4 linked regions of the Drosophila melanogaster genome follow. The protein of the gene in region 1 interacts with the protein of each later gene in a pairwise test. Each region holds a gene or a part of one and is shown in the gene's direction. Other genes may lie near its edges. The genes, in order: CG5783, CycY, CG43658 and Pvf3.

What was found.
Region 2: the proteins of CG5783 (region 1) and CycY interact in a two-hybrid assay, tested with the Drosophila melanogaster proteins (one large-scale study listed by BioGRID).
Region 3: the proteins of CG5783 (region 1) and CG43658 interact in a two-hybrid assay, tested with the Drosophila melanogaster proteins (one large-scale study listed by BioGRID).
Region 4: the proteins of CG5783 (region 1) and Pvf3 interact in a two-hybrid assay, tested with the Drosophila melanogaster proteins (one large-scale study listed by BioGRID).

Annotation. Positions count from the first base shown.
Region 1 is NT_033779.5:18,154,279-18,157,713, forward strand, and holds CG5783 (uncharacterized protein), read left to right. Parts: upstream 1-1,764; 5' UTR 1,765-1,798; coding exon 1,799-2,005; intron 2,006-2,063; coding exon 2,064-2,290; intron 2,291-2,346; coding exon 2,347-2,523; intron 2,524-2,576; coding exon 2,577-2,829; 3' UTR 2,830-2,884; downstream 2,885-3,435. Other genes in the region: CG17681 (uncharacterized protein), read left to right, coding at 1-132; CG15155 (uncharacterized protein), read left to right, coding at 588-782, 842-1,074, 1,137-1,250, 1,313-1,547; JMJD4 (jumonji domain containing 4), read right to left, coding at 2,931-3,435.
Region 2 is NT_033779.5:11,809,568-11,815,614, reverse strand, and holds CycY (cyclin Y), read left to right. Parts: upstream 1-1,834; 5' UTR 1,835-1,890; intron 1,891-2,932; 5' UTR 2,933-3,183; coding exon 3,184-4,021; intron 4,022-4,115; coding exon 4,116-4,498; 3' UTR 4,499-5,523; downstream 5,524-6,047.
Region 3 is NC_004354.4:17,558,172-17,563,193, reverse strand, and holds the start of CG43658 (uncharacterized protein), read left to right. Parts: upstream 1-2,013; 5' UTR 2,014-2,365; intron 2,366-5,022.
Region 4 is NT_033779.5:7,154,651-7,159,515, reverse strand, and holds the start of Pvf3 (PDGF- and VEGF-related factor 3), read left to right. Parts: upstream 1-1,820; 5' UTR 1,821-2,850; coding exon 2,851-4,029; intron 4,030-4,865.

The DNA of each region.
Region 1 (3,435 bases):
AATATAAACAACAGTGCTGCCTGTCGTGTGTTTGAGAAACTCAACTTCAGGTTGATCCAGGACGAACACTACTACTGGAGCATGATTAAGCCAGCAGCAGGAGGCCAGATATCTTGGCCCTGCGACGAATAGGGCCCACACCGTTAGTATTATTGGCCAGAAATTGCTTACAAATGAATTGTTTGTATACCTTATATACCTTTGTAGTTGTAACCTTAAGAAATATATTCTTCAAACTAAGTACAGATGATGCTTGACGAGCTGCACTTCTATTTGGATATTTGATCGGAAAGGTTGTTTCGCTTGAAGTAAGTGTGCAGTCAGTTGAGAGCTAGCTTTTAGCCAGCTAAATATTTTCACAATTCCCCATTGCTGACTCAGTTTTAACTGCCACTTAGCAAATGATTCTGATCACATTCAAGCCAAAAGGCTTTCGGATATCTTGATCCGGCAGGGAATAGGCCCAGACAGCAAATAGAGATACAGCAAAGTCTACAGCGGCTAATATGCAAAATATCTAGAAGGTGCCCTGCTATCTCAGTGTATAAATTGAATCACCGTCTAGTTGCCAGGGATCAGTTTTCGAAATGGATCGTCTGCAGCAGGTCGGCGTTCAGCAGTTGGGTGATCTGAAGCGTGTTTTCACCCGGGAATGGCCAAAATACTGCAAGGAGTACTACTGCCTGGACACGTTTCTGGAGCTATATAAAAAGGACGATCAGCTGAAGGATGTGCAAGTCTATGCTCTTCCCAATCTAGAGCTCGGAATATTTGTGATCGTGGTATGAATGCGGTTGGTGGTTGTGCGATCTTTTATTTAATTTTTATGTGGATCGTTAAGGATCACTATCAGATATTTGTGGGCTTCCTGGAAGCTGAACAATCAGAAAGCCTTTTCAAGGAGTCCTTACTCAAGTTTAAGCTCTATGGAGGCGAACAGTTCGCCTCAATGCCAAAAAGGTATTTCAATGTTGCCAACGACATTATTCAAGCGAAGAATCTGAAACTAGATCTCGACTGTGTAACACTTTCCCTGGTCTTGAGCAAAGAGGAAGCCCTGCTTTTTCAAGTAGAGTAAGTTCATCCAAAAATATATATAGTGCATGTGCCTAATAAACCGCTCTAAACTTTAACAGACCTCCAGCCGGATTTTCCCTTAAGCCGGTAGATATAGACGATGCTCAGGTGATTAATGATCAATGGGAATGGAGTGAGCCGGATTCCCTTTCCGTGGTCCGCCGTCAAATTCTGTATGACACAGAAAGAAATTCATGCTATTAGAAATAAATTCTCAATTACTATTACTTCGCAGGGCTCCAGATGGCTTATTGGCAGTCCTTCAGGTCAAGACGACCTACAAACGCAGAGGCTTCGGCCAACTGATTGTGAAGGAATTTGCGAGACAAGAGGCTCTGCTGGGACGCGATACAATCACCGAAGTGGTTCCGGAAAACAAGGCATCCTTGGGCCTGTTCACCAAACTGGGCTTTAAAATCAACGACCAGTGTCACTGGCTGATGACGGAGCCGCCAAAAGGAGTTCGATAAGATTAAGGACTTGTTTATCTGTAAATGTTATTTTTTTTGTAGATTTAAATTATTAAAGCTGATAAGTTTTAGCAGCTGGCAAAAAATGTACTGGCTGGCCATAAGAAAACCACACGTAAGAGAATCTAACGATTTGAAGAGATTGCATGAAGAGAAATAGACAAGCTGCTTGATTGAGTCACCCAAACAACAATCAAATGAGCCATTTTCACTCGGTCGCTCGAAGGGGAAGATTGTTTCGCTCGACCAATATGGGTACTCGATTAGAAGTTATTGGGCTGAAAGATATCCAGGAGTTCCAACAGCTCTACAAGCAAAACTGGCCAAAATATTGCCAGGAATACTACTGCCTTGATAACTTTGTGGAATTTCTGAAAAAACAGCCCCATATGAGGAATATTAAGATGTACACATTGGATGCAAAACAAGCCAGAGATGAAGGTCTTTTTGTTATAGTGGTGAGTTCTACATATATGTATAGACTGCAACTCACTAAGAGAGGCGGCCCTCTCTTAGGATCGCTATCAACTATTCGTAGGTTGCTTGAACAACACGAACGGCCTTGTTGGAAAAGCTCTGGATTTACTGGACTGGTCGTCGGGTTTGAAATGCAGTTCTATACCCTCCAGACACATTGGTGCCCTGGATAGTCTGGTGGAGTCCAAAAAGTTGAATCTGGTGTACAGGGACTGCACGAATTTGTTTTTTATGAAAGCCAACGACGCTCTCAAGCTGAAAGTCGAGTAAGAAATAATAATCCATTTAACATAACGAGTTTTATATGATCTAAGTCTTGTAGACCTCCATCTGGATTTGTTTTAAAGTCGTTGAGTGTGGCAGATGCTCCATTGGTTAACGCAGAGTGGCCCAATCATCATGAGGGATCTTTGTTCTTCGTAGAAAGGCAGATTCGCCTGTGCGTCAGTGTTGGATTGTACCAGGAAGACACCCAGGAACTAGTTGCCTGGTGCATTAGGTAAGACGAATGTATTTTTATAAAGACACATTACCTGATATCGAAATCTGTAGGTTACAAGGCGGCTACTTGGGCGCCCTGCAAGTCAAAGATACACACAAGCGACGCGGATTTGGCAGTGTGGTGACTAGGGAAATAGCATACCGCCTAGCCGTCCAAGGTCACGATGTAATGGCTCTCGTGGGCCCCTCGAATAAGCCGTCATCGGAGATGTTCAGCAAACTGGGATTCCAGGTCATCGATCAATGCTACTGGCTAAGGACGGAACCCACCGGTGGGCAGTTCACATGGCCCGAGGGCGAGTAATTGGTGTTTAAATGTCTGTATTAAAATATTACGACTTTCGGTTGTATATGAATACAAGTATTGGTATAAAAATATGCCGAGGCATTTGAGCTGTGCTTATTCTAAAACTCTAAACGAGCGAGCAATCCCTGGCAGCGATCTTCTAATTGGAGGGGACTACACTGGATAGTCGGATCCTCTGTTAGAGTCCGGGTGATCTTCCATAAGCACTCGAGATCGTATTGCACATGATAATCGTTCATTGTGTAACTATCGAATAGTAAAAATTTGGTGGCTACGGTTCCCTCTGCCAATCGGCGAGCGGCTATAAACTCCAGTAGTTCTATAAAATCGAGGTAGTTGATACCAAAGCTGGCCCTCAGCATTGTCTGGCAGTGGGCCTCAAAGTTGTCCATCTGCTGGCAGTCGGAGATCTCATTGCAAACGGCCTTCAGGTTGTTCTTAAGGTTTTGCCAGACCATGGATATGTTGCAGCCATTGAACCAGTTGTGATTGACGGATATGGTGTCTGTTAGGTTCCACACCTGATGAAACCAGCCACTGGGCACGAAAACAGCTTCATTGGCCCGCTGATTAATGGTGTAATATCGCACGTTGTGCTCATCC
Region 2 (6,047 bases), 6.3 Mb from region 1:
TTTTTATACATGAGCGCGGGACAAAAGTGAGAGCAGAAAGTGGAGGGCTTGAGTCGCAGGAGGATTTGATTTCCTTTCGTTTCGGTTTTCCTTTTCCTTAATCAACTTGAAATGTTTTCAAACGTTTTTCAAAATGTCTGATAGCGGGACCATTCTTTTAAGATTTACCACTGCTCTTTACCAATTTGAGCAGGGCGAAAATCGTAGGGAAATTCGAGGTGGAAAAGCCGCCGAGCGATAGCAGCAGAAAGTCAAAGGGCAGTGGTAAAAGTGCTTAGCAGTAAGGTACCAAATTATCAGCTGAAATTGGGATCATAGCTTTATTAAGGTAGTCGATAAATGTACGAACAAATCGTGGTTGCAGATGTGTATAGCGGATGTCTACTAGTAGCCATAGCCACAAATTAAAAACAAACACGAACAGAACAGACAGAACAAACAAACGTACACAGCAGATTAATCTACTCCTAAACATTAATGGGATAAATATAGCGCCAGAATACCTATTATGCGGACCGTAAATATTATTGAACAACCAGTGTATGTTAGTGTATATCAAACTTGAACGCTCAAAGCGATGCGCATGCATATATCGTATATATACATATATATATATATAGCGACCTCTCTCGAAAATCTGTACAAAGTCCTGATTAATATAGCGTTAGGCTGCAGACCCTCGAACAAAACAAAAAAAAAAAAACCGAAAAAGTTGTTATTTATCTCTGTTGAAAAATGGGAAATCCACAGAAACACTAATCGAACGTATGCAAACGGATATATATAAATATATATGAGGTTTACGATTCAATGTTATTAGCAAAAAGTAGTCTAGTAGTATCATTAACACACACATAGACATATTATATAGTTCCGGCCGATGTGCAAACTTGTTAACGAGAGAAACTTAGCTGATGGAACAATATGAAATACACACTTGCATACGGTAAATAAGTTGAAAGCAATCATTACATTTAAACAATAAATATAAACTACTTAACTATAAAGTCCCTAATGGAAAAAAAATATATATAAAATACATTTTGTGTAAATACAACTTGCACAGGATGCAAAAAGATGTAGTATATTAGCGGAATGCACTCTAACTAAAGGGAATACTGTAGCCATCCCACACCAACTAAAAACCGAAGGAATCGCATATTACTGAGATCTGTAAATAACTTTGTTTCATCTGTTCATTTCTAGCCCAGTTATTTATATATCGCATAAGCAAACTAATTGTGTACTTTACAAGTTATCTCGAAACAAAAGCCTACTAATGAAACGTTTTTAATTTTCCTACTATGTTAAACTCAACATTTAATATGCATAAACTAACGGCGATGGTCTAAAAATTGCAAAACAAGTATTTGAGATAAAGGGTATATGGCTGAGATGTATGCTTATTACGAAATACTTTCAAGTAAATTATAATAACACCATATGACTTTTAATATACTAATAAAAATTCTTATTAAACCTAACTGGGGACGGTTTTTTTTTAAAGGAGTTTACATATTTTGTTTAATTAAAGGCCCGCCCTTTTTTTGAATTTAGTGCTGCCACATAGTCATGTGTGATATCGATAAGTGGCGTTTCAGTACTTTACTTATCGACTTTCTTACATTGCCCTTTTATATATCCTTTTGTTGTTATTATTGTAATTGTGAATGATCATATATTTCAGGGACTAATTTATTACTTATTAATAATATTTAAGATTTTACGCAATGTTTTTAAAACTAGGCACTAGAGCATTTATCTGGTATTTTTATACCGCAAAATGCCATCTCTTAGCCGGATGGTGTTTTTGTGCTAACCATCAACGGGCACACCGCCACTGATATCTATCGATATTTATAAAATACGATACATTTCATTTTCGAGCAGGTAATTAAACAAAAAAACGCGAGAAAACACCAAAGATGTGTGAAAAGTGTTGCATTACTACCTTGCCCAACTGACGGCCATCGCCTCATCAGTGAGATAGCCACCAATTAAGCCTAATCACCCAATAATCCCGATTTGGTAGTCATTCGTGGGTGTTTCTCCGGGCAGAGGCCGAGCAGCGCTGCCGGCGACGACAGCGGCGCCAGCGTTCATTCATTCATTCACTGCAATGATTAATGTGCGGGGAAAAAACAATTCAAGTGATTTGAGCAGAGATAGTAGGAATCTAGGAACTGGGCAATCAGCTGCCCACCCGGTGACAAATTATCCAATATCTCCGGCCTTCCGCGCCGTAAACAAAGTCACAAGCTTCGCTGCCGCCCCGCCCCTCCCAGAAATGGGAAGAAGAAGAAGAAGTTAGAGTCGTGCTCCCCACACAGAAAACAAGAAATCGGCGAAAATAAAGCAAAGACCTCGCCAAATTAGGCAATTAGGTTAATTAACTTTTCGCACAACAATCTGGCCGGCCTTTAAGCCAAAACGATTCCGCCTATAAACAGAGCAAATATAAATGGTAGATAGTGAAAATAGCACAACTTGCAGATCGAATGCTGAAATACCCTAACCAAAGTAACCCTCCTAGGCTAAGTTCGATATGCATGGCATATTTGGTTTTCGTCATGTGACTTCTTTCACGTTATTATCTTTAAAAACAACAAAGTTTTTATCATATCTACAGCTGACTTTCCCTACAATTTATATGATAGAAGTGCCCCCAAACTTTCAAATCAATCAAATAGTCAGTCTTATCAGGTCATTCAAATTTGTAGCACTAGAAAGTGTTATTAACAATAGTTTAAATGCCACCACAAGTAGTGAAAAAGTAGTCAAAACTTCTCTAAAATCGAATAGCACCCTCCCCAAAAAAGGGCAGTGCAATTAATAATGGGTTATGGGATGAGAATGAGAACAGATTTGCAGATAAGATCGAATGAAAGCCGAGGCTAAGCGTTATCTATATACATACATATACTCTTTGCAGCAAACGCTCGACGACGGGCAGCGGTAATTGTGGAGCGATAGAAACGCCAGCGCCATGCCCATAGACATAGACGCACGACGACCAAGTGCCAAAAGCGAGAACCGAGCGTGAGCGACTGCCAGGAGCAGGATCCGTAACCACGGGGTCCATCCGCTAGTCAAGAGAGAGTGAGCAAGCGAGCGAGTGAGTGCCAAGCCAAGTTTGCATTTAGTTTGAGCGCCCGACCAACCGAACCAATCCGAAACGGCAAAATGGGCAACAAGAACTCGTGCTGCGCGTACTCCAGTCCGCAGTCGGACCGCAAGTCTAAGGACATGCCGCCCGTCTTCGAGGAGCGGATTATCCAGCTGGGTCATCCGCCGCACACGTCACAGCACCAGTTGGACGGCCACCATGGATCCGCGTCGGCGGTGCACCTGCATCACCATCATCACGGCCACAATCAGCAACAGAATCAGCAGGGTGGCGGCGGTGACAACTATGAGAACCAGCAGAATCTGCAGCACATCTCCGAGCGAGAGGCGCTGGAGGGCGAGGAGGATCCGTCGGTCGATCCCACTGCAGCCACCATGTTCCTGGAACGATCAAAGGTGGAGAACGGCGGCATGACGCGCAAGCGTTCGCAACAGCAGATTGCCCAGCAGGCGGGCAGCGGCGGCGGAGGAGGCGGCGGCGGTGGCGGCGGCAGTACTCCCGGTGGCAATAGTTGCGGCGGTGGTGGCGGCATGAAGAAGAGCTCCTCCTGCTCGACGATCTATCTGGACGACAGCACTGTGTCGCAGCCGAATCTTAAGAATACGGTCAAATGCGTCTCACTGGCCATTTACTATCACATCAAGAATCGGCAATCGGATCGCCGGCTGGACATCTTCGACGAGAAGCTTCATCCGCTGACCCACGACCAGGTGCCGGATAACTATGACACGCACAATCCGGAACACCGGCAGATCTACAAGTTCGTGCGCACGCTCTTTAACGCCGCCCAGCTGACGGCCGAGTGTGCGATCATCACGCTAGTCTACCTGGAGCGGCTACTCACCTACGCCGAGCTGGATGTGGGACCCTGCAACTGGAAGCGCATGGTGTTGGGTGAGTGGAGTGCTGCAAGCATCAGATATTCAGAACAAGCAGTAGATCACTAATTTGGTATAGCTTACTAATTTCTACTATTGATGTTCTGCAGGTGCCATTCTCCTCGCCTCAAAGGTGTGGGATGACCAGGCCGTTTGGAATGTAGATTACTGCCAAATACTCAAAGACATCACCGTGGAGGACATGAACGAGCTGGAGCGCCAGTTCCTCGAGCTGCTGCAGTTCAACATCAATGTACCGTCCTCGGTGTACGCCAAATACTACTTCGACCTGCGCACGCTCGCCGAGGCCAACGAGCTCAACTTCCCCACGGAGCCGCTGTCCAAGGAGCGGGCCCAGAAGCTGGAGGCCATGTCGCGTGTGATGCAGGACAAGGTCACTGCCGAGGCACTGAAGAATGGGATCAAGAAGTGGTCCTCCATGGACAACATCAGTCAGGGCGGGCCGCGACGCAGCGTGGCCATACTATCGTGATTTATATTAGCTTACTAAAACCGAACAACCAACCAACAGCAGCAATGAGATCCGTACTCTGTAGTCCGTAGTCCGATCGAACGTCATTTGAGAACCGTAGCTCTGCGCTGAATCAGATTTTGCACACAGATTCAGATACATTTCGTAGGCCACCCGGTTGCATAAGCTTTTGCGGGTGGCTTTTTAGCCAGCACACAGACTCTAAAAGGAACACCCAAATACGTGCAGAAAGAATCACAGTCTTATATACAATATATACATACACGAAGAAAAGCGTTTTAACCACACGTCTCGAATTAAGGACCACTTTTTACATATACGTACATGCGATCGATGTATGTAAGCGAAACTACCGATGCAGTCATGGATTTGGATGATGATTTTAAACAGAGACACAGAAGTACTACTACAGCAACGCGTAACCAATTGCCAAACGAAAGATCACAGAAGCAGAAAGAGATACAGAAACCTAAACCGAACAGTAGAGAATTGTTTGTACAAAACGGCTTAAATAATATTGTAATTGACTTGGCCACCTAATCCAGCTGGCATCTAAGCAATTTAATCTCAACGGTTGGCCACGGCCACCAAATTGTCATTTACTTAGCGCGTCCGCGCCCAAAAAAAGAAAAGAAAAACATTTCCCTGTACATTTGTTACGAATTTAATTTGTTTACCTTACATCCATGTTTTCTTAATAACTCAATATGATTTCGTGTGATTCTTATATAGTTTCCATTTAGCTTTATATACGATGAACGATATTCGGCTTCCCCGCGTCAGGCTTCAGGCACAAATCGATTTTCTGGGGGCGCGGCCTGCGGCAAGTTGATTTGTTTTTTTTTGGTTCTTAGCATTAGAAAAACAAACAAAATCCGAGCGAGAGTTGCAAGGAGCACAGCGCAATATTAACCCAAAAGATTTGTGAGTAAATTAATGTACTAGACATATAAGGATACGAATTATATGCAAAATGTATTTTATTTTGTAATTTATTTTACGATAAAGCTAAATAAAAGCAAATCAAAGAAATAGACTTTCTATAACTTAGTTTTTGTCACTTTTTTTTCGAAAACGTGGGTTTTGAAAACGAAAGCGCGCTTATTCGAAGTCAAAAACATGGCCATATGAAACAGAAAGTTTTTGAAACATTTTTTTTTTTTTATATAGAAAGGACTTCTGGCTATTCTATGTATAAAAACATTTTAGAAACATATCTTATTCTAAATAAGAAGATCGATCATAGGATTTCTTTCGAAAATCGTATAAAATGTATTGTATAATCCACTTATTTTCTTTCCCTCCCACAAAATATGGATTCAAAAATCTCGAACAAGATTATGTGGAAAAGTATTGATAATCACCTAAACACATTGATTTTCAACATTATAAATACTCCACTTGCAAATGCAAAAAAAAAACTCTTTAGAAATAGTCAAGATCCTACTATTTAAGTTTATACTTTCAGAAAATCTTATAATTCCAATTACACTTTATAACTTATTAAATTTACGCTGCTAATTATTTTTATTATTTATAAAATACTTTA
Region 3 (5,022 bases), on another chromosome or scaffold:
TGTGATCTGCTGGCTGCGATTAGAAAATGATTTACACCTCTGGCTGCAAAAAAAGAGAATTCAGGATAAAAGATGGGCCTTACAACGTCTGCGAAACTGGTTGGAAGAAGAAGCTGATGTTCTTCTCCCTCTCCTTCATCTTCTTGTTCTTGGCCAGCTCTGCTTCTTCCCAGTATGCAATTACACATTTTATTATTATTAACGTTAATGTCGCCCATGGGAGGGCACTAACGCCCGGCTCCACATAAAAGGCGCTTATTAATAAGAAATTGCAATAAACTACAAGACACAGCAGAACGTACAGCAATCCGTTGCTACACTACAAGAATTTTGCATATGTGCTATTTCGCGCAAGAAAATGTAAACTGAAATTAATACATTTCATTTCGCAGAACCATTTTTAATTATTCTTATACGTTCTTTATTTTTATATATTAATTATTCATTTAAGTTATATATGAGTAAATTTGTAATGCTTTTAGACGTTCAAGGCCACACTTTTTTTAAGTGCATTCCGGTACGCTGGCGCTTAAAGGAGCAACAGCTGGCGTATGAGTGAGAGGCCAGACGGTGGGAGAGGGGCACCGAAACAGAAGAGAGTGTGAGAAAGGGAAAGAGAGATCCCAGCCGGCGAATGCGCGGCAAAAACAAAAGGCAACGGGAGAAGCTCGGCGAAACAGCTGGCGAAGAAAGTCGCTCTCTTTGGCTTATCTCTTTTTAACCCTCTTCTGCCTGCCATTGCTTTTCTTAACCCTTGCGTATCCTTGTTGAGAGTAAATCAAGCGCTCCACATATTTTATTAAGTTGGAAACCAGTAATAAAGTAGGAAGCTCGCTGCCAGCTGCAGCTCACACACACACCTACACGCACACACTAACCGATGCACTCTTCTCCGGCGCTGGGGTTGCTGTTGTTGCACTGCCTGCTGCACGCGCGAAAATGCTAAGTTGCCAGGAGCGGATTCAGTTGGTTGGCTGCATATATGACAACCAACGAAGATTTTCTAACTCAGTATTAGTTAGACCATCATTTCGAGAAAACAGAAAAGTATAAACTTTTTTTCCGTATCATCGCAGTTATGAACCAAGCAGACTTAATTTTTTTTGTAACAAAACTAATAGATCGGCTTAGATTGATGAACTAACAAAATTAATCAGGTAACCGTATTCCCATAAAACATTGCCTACTTTTTCGGGCATTAGGTAAACTACAATATAAACTATACCCTGCACCGTTTTGAAAGTGATCCGCACCTGTTCTGAAGCATTTTCTGCTCTCTCCCTCGCTTCCCTTCTTCGATCCCACTCTTCGTAGAGGCTCAAAACGTGCGCCTAACAAAATGCCGGTTTAAGTTTTGCGTTGTTTGGCGTATACGTAATGCAAAAGGAGAGCGAGAGTAGTGTGCCGAAAACGAGAGAGTGTGTGAGAGAGCGGAAAAGAGCGCGCGCGTCGCTAGTTGCTTTTCGTCTGATTGGAACTCCAAACTCCAATTCCAGCTCCAACTCCTACTACAAATACAACTACAGCTCCACTGCATCAGCATGTTGTTGTTGCTGCTTTAGCTGTTTTTTGTTTTTGTTTCATCTGGCAGTTCTTGTTCCTTTCCTTCTGCACTCCATTCGCACACTAGCTCAGGTCCACAGCAGCAGTCAAAGCAATAGCAGCTACAACTGCGCAGCTATTAAATGTTTTCAAAATACCAAAGTTCTTAAAAAAATATGTATACTAATTATGTTTTTTTGATAAAATAATGTTTAAGCTATTTCAAAGATTGAAACCAATTTTATGGTTTGTGATGTGCATTGTTAAATTAAATTACTTACTTACTTACACTTACTTTTTAGCAATACTAAGTTCACAATAAACGTCGCTTCCATTCAATCATTAACTTAAAACAAGCTCTAAGCCATTTGGGCATTAATTCTTTTTCCGTGCCTGTGGCGAGCAAACTGCATTTGCGGCACTGCCGGCGTCGTCGACGTGGGGACGTCGCTGCGTCCGTGGGATTCGGCCGCAGTTGGATTTTGGTGCTGCTCGCGCGAGGACGTCTCCTCTCCTTAAACTTCTGCTGGGGCTCTCTTCGAAGAGAGCGCTAATCCTGCGAAGAGCGTCGTTTTTAAGTCGCGATCAGAAACAACAGTAACCACAACCTGGTGGCCAGCAATTCTTACCAGTTTTTAGAAAGAGCCACGAAAAAAATGAAGTAGTGTGAAATATTATATTTTCATTTTGTGTGTGCGTGTGTGTGCGGTTTTCCTTTAATTTCGTTACACTTCTTTTTTTTTGCGATTTTTGTTTATGTGCCAAACTAGTTTCGAGTTCATTGAATTTGCGGCGCCGTTGTCAACCGATCGTTGCTGAAAACGTAAGTGCAGCTTTTTAAGTAGCTAAGGATGCGTTTGCCGCAGGACATTTGCGGTCACGTGGCAGCTGCCGCCACCTGCGAAAACCGCAAAACGAAAAAGCCGCCAAAACATTAGCACTTGAATGGAAAAGTATTTCGCAAATTAGTTAAATAAGGGTTATAAAAGTGGCAGAAAAAGTATTTGTAGTGCACCAAAATTGAATATTTTTTTCCTTAGAACTGGAAGCGTTGTCTGTGTTTTTTAAACAATAATTGGCATGAAATTTCAAAAAATCGAAAATCATATACTTGACCGAAAAAAAAAGAAAAATATTACGTGAATTTATTTTATGTATATTAAGTTGTAACTTTAGGGCTTAAATCGCGATATAAAGTTTTCACATATTATATTTTCTGAACATCTCTTTTTAGACACTTTCTTAAAATACAAATAAATTTCAGAGTTGTCAATTTTTGGGTGAGAGCAGGTTTCCCCTTTTTAGCAGACTCACTACATACATTTATATTAACAACAATAACTTGGCTCTTTTGTCTCACAAGCAATTGGCTCGAAATGTTGTCGCGTCGCCCTTAGCTGTATCCTTTGTTTGGTCCTTGGCCATTAGGATCCCTTTTAATTAAGATGAATAACTTGCAGTTTTTATACGCCACAGAAATCGAAATTTCATCGCCGGCATTTGGTTGTTGCTTTATAAAGAGCTTTAAAACCAAACTTTTAAAGCATGGAAATAATTTAGTTTTTGTCGAAATACGTTAATAAACCTTCAGATAAGATTTACTGTTTGTTTATTTGTTTGTACAATTTATTACTTTGTCCATTTTTTTTTTTACTTTTTGTTGTACTTTGCTAGAAGTTTCCATCTCAAAGCGTTAAGTTTTTCTAGCATTTTGGCACAGCTTAAAAGTTGGCAAGTGCCAAAAGTTCAAGCGCGCTGCTCACCTTTCAATTAGCCGGGAATTCAGAGCGAATCTAATTAGTTGGCCAACATGGTGGTGGAAAGTGACGAGTCCTCTGATTTCCTGGCTCCCTGATTGCTTCCAAAAGCTGATCGATCATCAAAAGACACAACCGCCACGCAAAAAGGTAGCAAAAAGTAAACAAACTAAAAATCAAGCTACCGAAACAAAAAATGTACGAATTCTGGACTGTCGAAATGTTTTGGCAGTTTCAGCAGGGTGCTGTTAAAAAATGAATTCAGGAATTTCAGAAGTGTGGCCAATCATCAAACTGAATGAAGAAAAAAGTGCCCCTTTGGTTGACTCTTCCTGTTACATTTCACAAAGAAACATAAACGAATAGAAAGGAAAGTTGTATATTATAATCTTAGATATATTAACCGATAAATGTCAAAAATGTGTGTGTGACACGCAGTAAAGAATGTTAAATTGAATTAGGGGAAAAAGTATTACAAAAAAAAAAACAAAGTTCTTTGAATACCAGTTCATTACATTTTTTGTACATTACTTGACGAATGTAAGGACCTTTTAAGCAACCGAAAAATGCAAACAATTTGAGCAGCCCTCCGCTGATTTCGCTTATTAACTAAAATAAATCCGTCCAAACGGAAAGGTGCAGAAGGACAGGGCCGTTGGCCAAGTGCTACTGGCCAACTAGCTGACCATTTCCCTGTTTTGCCTTTTTTTTGTGTTTTTTTTTTTTTGTTAGCCTAGCTGCTGCTGCTTTATGTTTGCCTTTTATTTTGGCCACAAGTTCTAGTTAGTACGAGGCGGACGAAGGCGAGTTCATAGAGCCAAAAGAACCGGTCTTGGAAAGTCGTCTAAATGTTTCTCTTACCTTCGGGCACTGCAAGAAAAAACTAATTACGAAATAAGAGATATATAAAACATTTGGTTTAATGTGATCAGACCATCACGGTAGATTTAACTATCTTGGTGCGCTTCGTCACAACGTGGACTGCAAGCCTAAAAGATTTCCTAATCAGTATTACCTAACTATTAAAGTCATGATAAATGAATTAATGAAAATGAGGATGTGCTTCTCGAAAACCAGACTCGGCATGAAGTTCCCATGCTTTTTTATCAGTGCACCTTTTTATCCCCGTCCAAGTCGAAGTCCGAGACTTTTCGATGTCGATGCTGAAGGCCCACTAAAATGTCTGGCTGTGTGAGTGTGCGAGTGTGTAGTGGCTCCTTCCACGGAGTATTCATTCCCAGAGGAATGTGTTAAAGTGTCTAAAGCTGTTTGCCTTCCCCCCGAACGCGCCCCCCCCCTCCCCCACCTCAACCATCCATCCAAATCGCCAAATAGAAAATTCTGAACTCGAGGAGCAGCATAAAATACAAAGCCGAACGCATCAGAATGGCAACGGCGATTTATAAGATAGTCCCACAGAGCGCAGAGGAAAAATAATATCAAATATCAGGGCTTAATTGATTTTTTTCTTCGCCTTTTTACCCCTTTTTATAATGGATCTGACTCATTTGGTAGAGCTTATAAGTTATATAAGCATCATAAAAAGTACATGAAAGCTTTTTAATGCATCAAAATGTTTTTAAAATATGAATTTGCTATATGTGCTCCAATAATCTGTTAAATAGTAAAGTTAATTGCATGTGATTGCTGTTACAAAATGTTGTAATAAAATAGAGAAGGATGTACAAGGCTAAATTGCTACCTTAATATATAATAAAACATA
Region 4 (4,865 bases), about 11 Mb from region 1:
GGGGACGCGCTCAACTGAAGTGAAGTGCAATGTAAATTGCCTCATGATTATTAAATTGCCTCTTACTGCTGCACGGACTTAGTTTTCGGGGAGTCGTCGTTGAAAACTTGTTGAGAAGTTGAGAATGTTGCAAATTAGTTGACTTAACTTGGCTTAGGGGCTTAACCCCGAAAAATGGGTTGTGGGCGCATATGTGATGCCTGATATTTTTGATAAACTTAATTGTATATGAGTTTACCGAAACGTTACTGATATAATAATCAATAACTTCTCTTAAAAAACATATATATGCTATAAGATTAGATGTAGGTATATATTTGGGCAAACTAATTTTATTTTTTACAAGATTCCATGCCTCATTGTCTGAAATCATACGTAACCAAATTGAGCGTTAGATTCAACACCCTCTATAGGCTTTTATAAGCAAATCGCACATGTGGCTTTATAGCTTATCACCTACCGAAACTCACCCCAAAGCAAACACAATGTACACACATCAAACAATGATATAACAATCTTTACAATCTTCAAACGAAAGAAAACGAAACTTGTTTGCCTTGGAGCTTAAAAAAATCAAACAAGAAAGGCCATAAGAAAAATTTTTGGGACGGGGAAGTATTTAAAGATCGACAAAGGGAGAGAACATAACTATAAAGAACCTGAAGAACTAATTCACTGCGACTATCTATCAACAATAATTCGCTATAATCAGCTATCGTATCATCTTTGATTTAGTGGGAACCTCACATATCTTTTATTGATCGCCTGACAAATCCTATTTGCACGCCCAGCGTTGAAAATCAATTTTCCGGCTATGGAAATATGGTTAGGAGAATAATAAAATGTTCTTTAAGTCTTCATTTCAGGCTCCAACCCCTTCTTTTTTCTCGACTCTTTTATCATCGATCAGTCTTAGGACGGGCCACATTTTTTATGATCATGCTAAGAAGTTTACTCGTTCTAAAATCGGTGACTCACGGGTGGAAACCTTTTCGTTTTTATACACATTTCGTTTAATGGCAATTAGTTGGAAAATTTGTTCTTCAATGCGACTTGTCCGCCGTTCAAGGATATTAAAGTCTAGAGTTCTTGGAAATCACACATTTTGTGGTTCGGTAAAACCAACAGAAGATCTGTGTTGGAGGTGGAAATAAAAATCCATCTCATTATTATTATTATGTAATGAATGAAGTCTGTGCCCACTGCCCACACGAGGAGCAAAAATCAGCAGCCAACGCACAACAATCTTGAGAATTAAACAACTTCAGAAGAAGTTCTCAGACAACTCAGCGAAAGTAGAAGACATGGGCGTACAGCCAAAGCTGCTGTTAGGCTTCAGATGAAGATGATTGCTGCACTAAGGAAAAATATATTACATAACACTTCTAAAAATAAATTAAATTAACTAGGCAGTTATTCGAACTTAAATAAAGATAGTAAAATTTTTTAAAAAATATTTTTAGGATTGATCTTAAAATGTTTGTTTCCATTATCCTTAACGTATCCTTTTCTTTTTTGTAGAAGTGTACAACTTACAGAAGTTCCAGATTGTGTGGGAGATTGCTGCTGACATTTTATTTTATGACGCTACATGCACAATGTCCGACTGAAATTATATTCTGCCTCTTAAACTGGTTAGACTAACGAATTTCCAGGCTGATCAGCCGGATTGGTAATAGATTTTGTCGTAGTTTTCAGTTTTCCCGCTGTCGCCTCATGTTGCTGGCATCATGTTGCGACTAGATGCTCTTTTGTGGATCGCAACATGTGTTGCCAATGCGCATCTGCCGCGACTGAAATCCATACGGAATCCGTGTGTCAGTCGTTATCTGAACGTCGGGAACTGTGGATTTGTCCGCCCCTACGTGGAGCCACGCGATCTGAACTTACCATTTACCGGAGCCAAACGGAAGTGCCATATCTCCATCTATTCCTATGGAACTCCGCCATCTGGCACTGGAAATCAAAACAAACAAATCATTGCACAAACAAGCGCTAAAGCATCGCACATACAGATATATACTCCGGAGATATATACTCGGATGTGCGTGAGTGGATTGGTGGGTGTGTTTTTCTTGCCTCCTGGCATCGCGTCAAAAGTCGCGCGCGGATTCTGCGGCGGATTTATGGCCGCGGTAATTGGTTAAAGCTAAGAATTTAATAACCATTAATCACTGAGTGTGTGAACAAATTGGCAAAAGATCAAAGGAAAAAGAATAAAGAATATTATAAAAAAAAATGAATGATTTGTGGTGATTAGTGTTGAAGTGCTAATATTTGGAAATACAATTGAAAACGACAATAAAAAAGAGATAAATAAAAAATAAATTGACGTCGCGGTATATGGAATACCTATAAATTACAATAAAGAATAAACATATTGAAATGAAAAAAAAATAAAATGTTATCTTAATACTTAAATGAAGTTTCTAGGAATCTCACACAACGCATAAATAAAGCTATAAATGCAATGGTATAATTAACAAAGACCCCGAGTAATATTTTAATGACATATAAAAATTAACATCCAGTAAAACATTTTTTACGAGAACAATTAAAATTCCATTTACGAAAAAATAAACGACTTAATTCCAACTCTGAACAATTAATATTCCATTTTAAGCCGGTAATAACGAATTATTTTAACTTTCAACAAGTGTCAAAACAAAAAGTGACAATATTAATTGCGGATTGTGGGACAAAGGGAAATGTTTTAAACAAAACAAACGACAAAGGCAAGTGCCAACAAACGCATGTGAAAAATATCGACACAAAGAGCAGAGTATTCCTAGAAAAAAAGGCCAATATAAAACAATAAAATCCCCGCGGTGAAACGCAACGATCTTCGAAATGCATTGGCTAGTTCTGATACTAGTGCCCCTCGTCTGGGCCAATAGCAGTGATCTAAAGGGAGCACCTGTGATGACCACAGTAGCCCCGACTGGCGGTCATCGAAGTCCCCATCAGCAGCAGAGATTGCAGCAATTGCAGGAGGCGCAACAACTGGAGGCCCATCAGCAGCACCATCATCATTTGCGGCACGAACAGCATCTGCGGGCCGAACTGGAGGGCAACCATCAGCCGCCGATCGAGGATGTCGAGAAGAAGGCCTTCCTCGATCCCCAATTGCCCATGCAGCAGCATCACTTGCGTCATCACAATCGTCATCATGCGAGCTGGGAGCAGCGGGTATTTCCCTCGCTGCGTCATCAGCAGCACCGCTTGTCCATCGGACCGAGCACGGCCAAGAACCTAATGACCACCGAGGCACCCACAACCAGGCACCATGGCCTGATCTCCAATCACAGTCGCTATTTTGACAGGGACGGCATCTTTCCATCCTGGGCTGAGCCTCGAACCACCAGAGGTCCCAATTGGCGACAGGAGGTGGACTCGAGTGATTCCGACGAGGACAGCGATGAGGATGACGAAGATGACTACGATGAGTATGATGAGGATGGCGATACCTCGAATGGCGTTGATGAGGAACTGGCCCGACAAATGCCCAGATATTCGCTGTTCACCCAGAAGTTGCCACACATCGATTTAAAGGATACCGATTACAATGCGTACGACCAGTCGGATGAACTGGACATAGTTTCGAGTAGCAATCGCAACAGCAACAAGTATCCCAGCGTGGCCAATCCGCACGACAAGTCTGCTGGCAAGCGGAATATATTCGATTGGCTGTTCAAACATGATAGGGAAAAAGAGGCTGTTAAAAAGCCACACATCACAACTACTTCAACGACAACAACAACCTCAACAACCAGCACAGTAAAGCCCACAATAATGCGAACCGAAAGGCCAAAACTGCAATTAATTGATGCGAATCTAAAGAATGGCGGTGGCGAAGAGGACGACTCCAATGAGGATTCAGACTCCGAGTCGGAGGAGGGCTTCTCCAATGAACAGTGGAACAAAATCGAGCACCAACACCATCTCAGGCAGCAGAAACACCAGAAAGAACTACTGGCGATGCGAGAGAAGAGCCGGAATACCCCTCTCATAAGGAACATTGAGAATGAGGTGAGTCTGGCATTGCGCCCATTGTTCTGAATTCACTGATAAGTCTGCGGCATCCCGCCGATTTCATGATGTCATTAGCCATTGTTGTTGCTCTGACATTGCTCCATTATGTGGGATTTGGCTGTGGGGCTGCTTGGAGAGCCCCTGATAAGAGATTCCGTTCATAAACAGACAGCGATAGTAGTGATTGTGGCCACAAATGACCAACCAATCTTTTGGGGCCAGACTGTGATTCTGGTTTCGGTTTCACGTATGATTTTCATTTGTTGCTGATGGTTAGTCACGCCGAAAATCCGTCAGTAAACAAATAGATGTTCAAGTGCACTGAGCCAAATAATGGTATCTAAGCTATCGAGATTGTCTACAAATAAGAAGTATGTAAATATCTAAATTAGAATGAGTTGTGTTGCAATTGTATTCGTTTATCATTGTGAAGATGAATTGGTTGATTCCAGAACTCTCACTTTCATTTCGTAGCTAGAAAATTCTCGCAGTGCACTGCCATTACTCACCTCGGCATAACGCACTGACCATGGCTAATGCCGTTTGCATTTTGGCTTACAACAAAAACAGACATGTAGCTTTACTTTGTGTTTTGGTGCTCATGGCAAATGTTTACACAATGCGGCAAAGGTTGAAAGGGGGGGCGGTGAAGGTGAAGGAGGAGGGGAAAGGATAGCAGCTGGCTTTTGCCAATTCGGCACTTTTTGGCTGACCGCTAGCCATTCACAATGGCGGCCTGGCTAATTGAAACCAGTCAGAACGGCAACGAAAATCAACAAAATGCAACAACAATAACAATTAATTTGTTGCATTTGATTTGCACTTTTTGGATG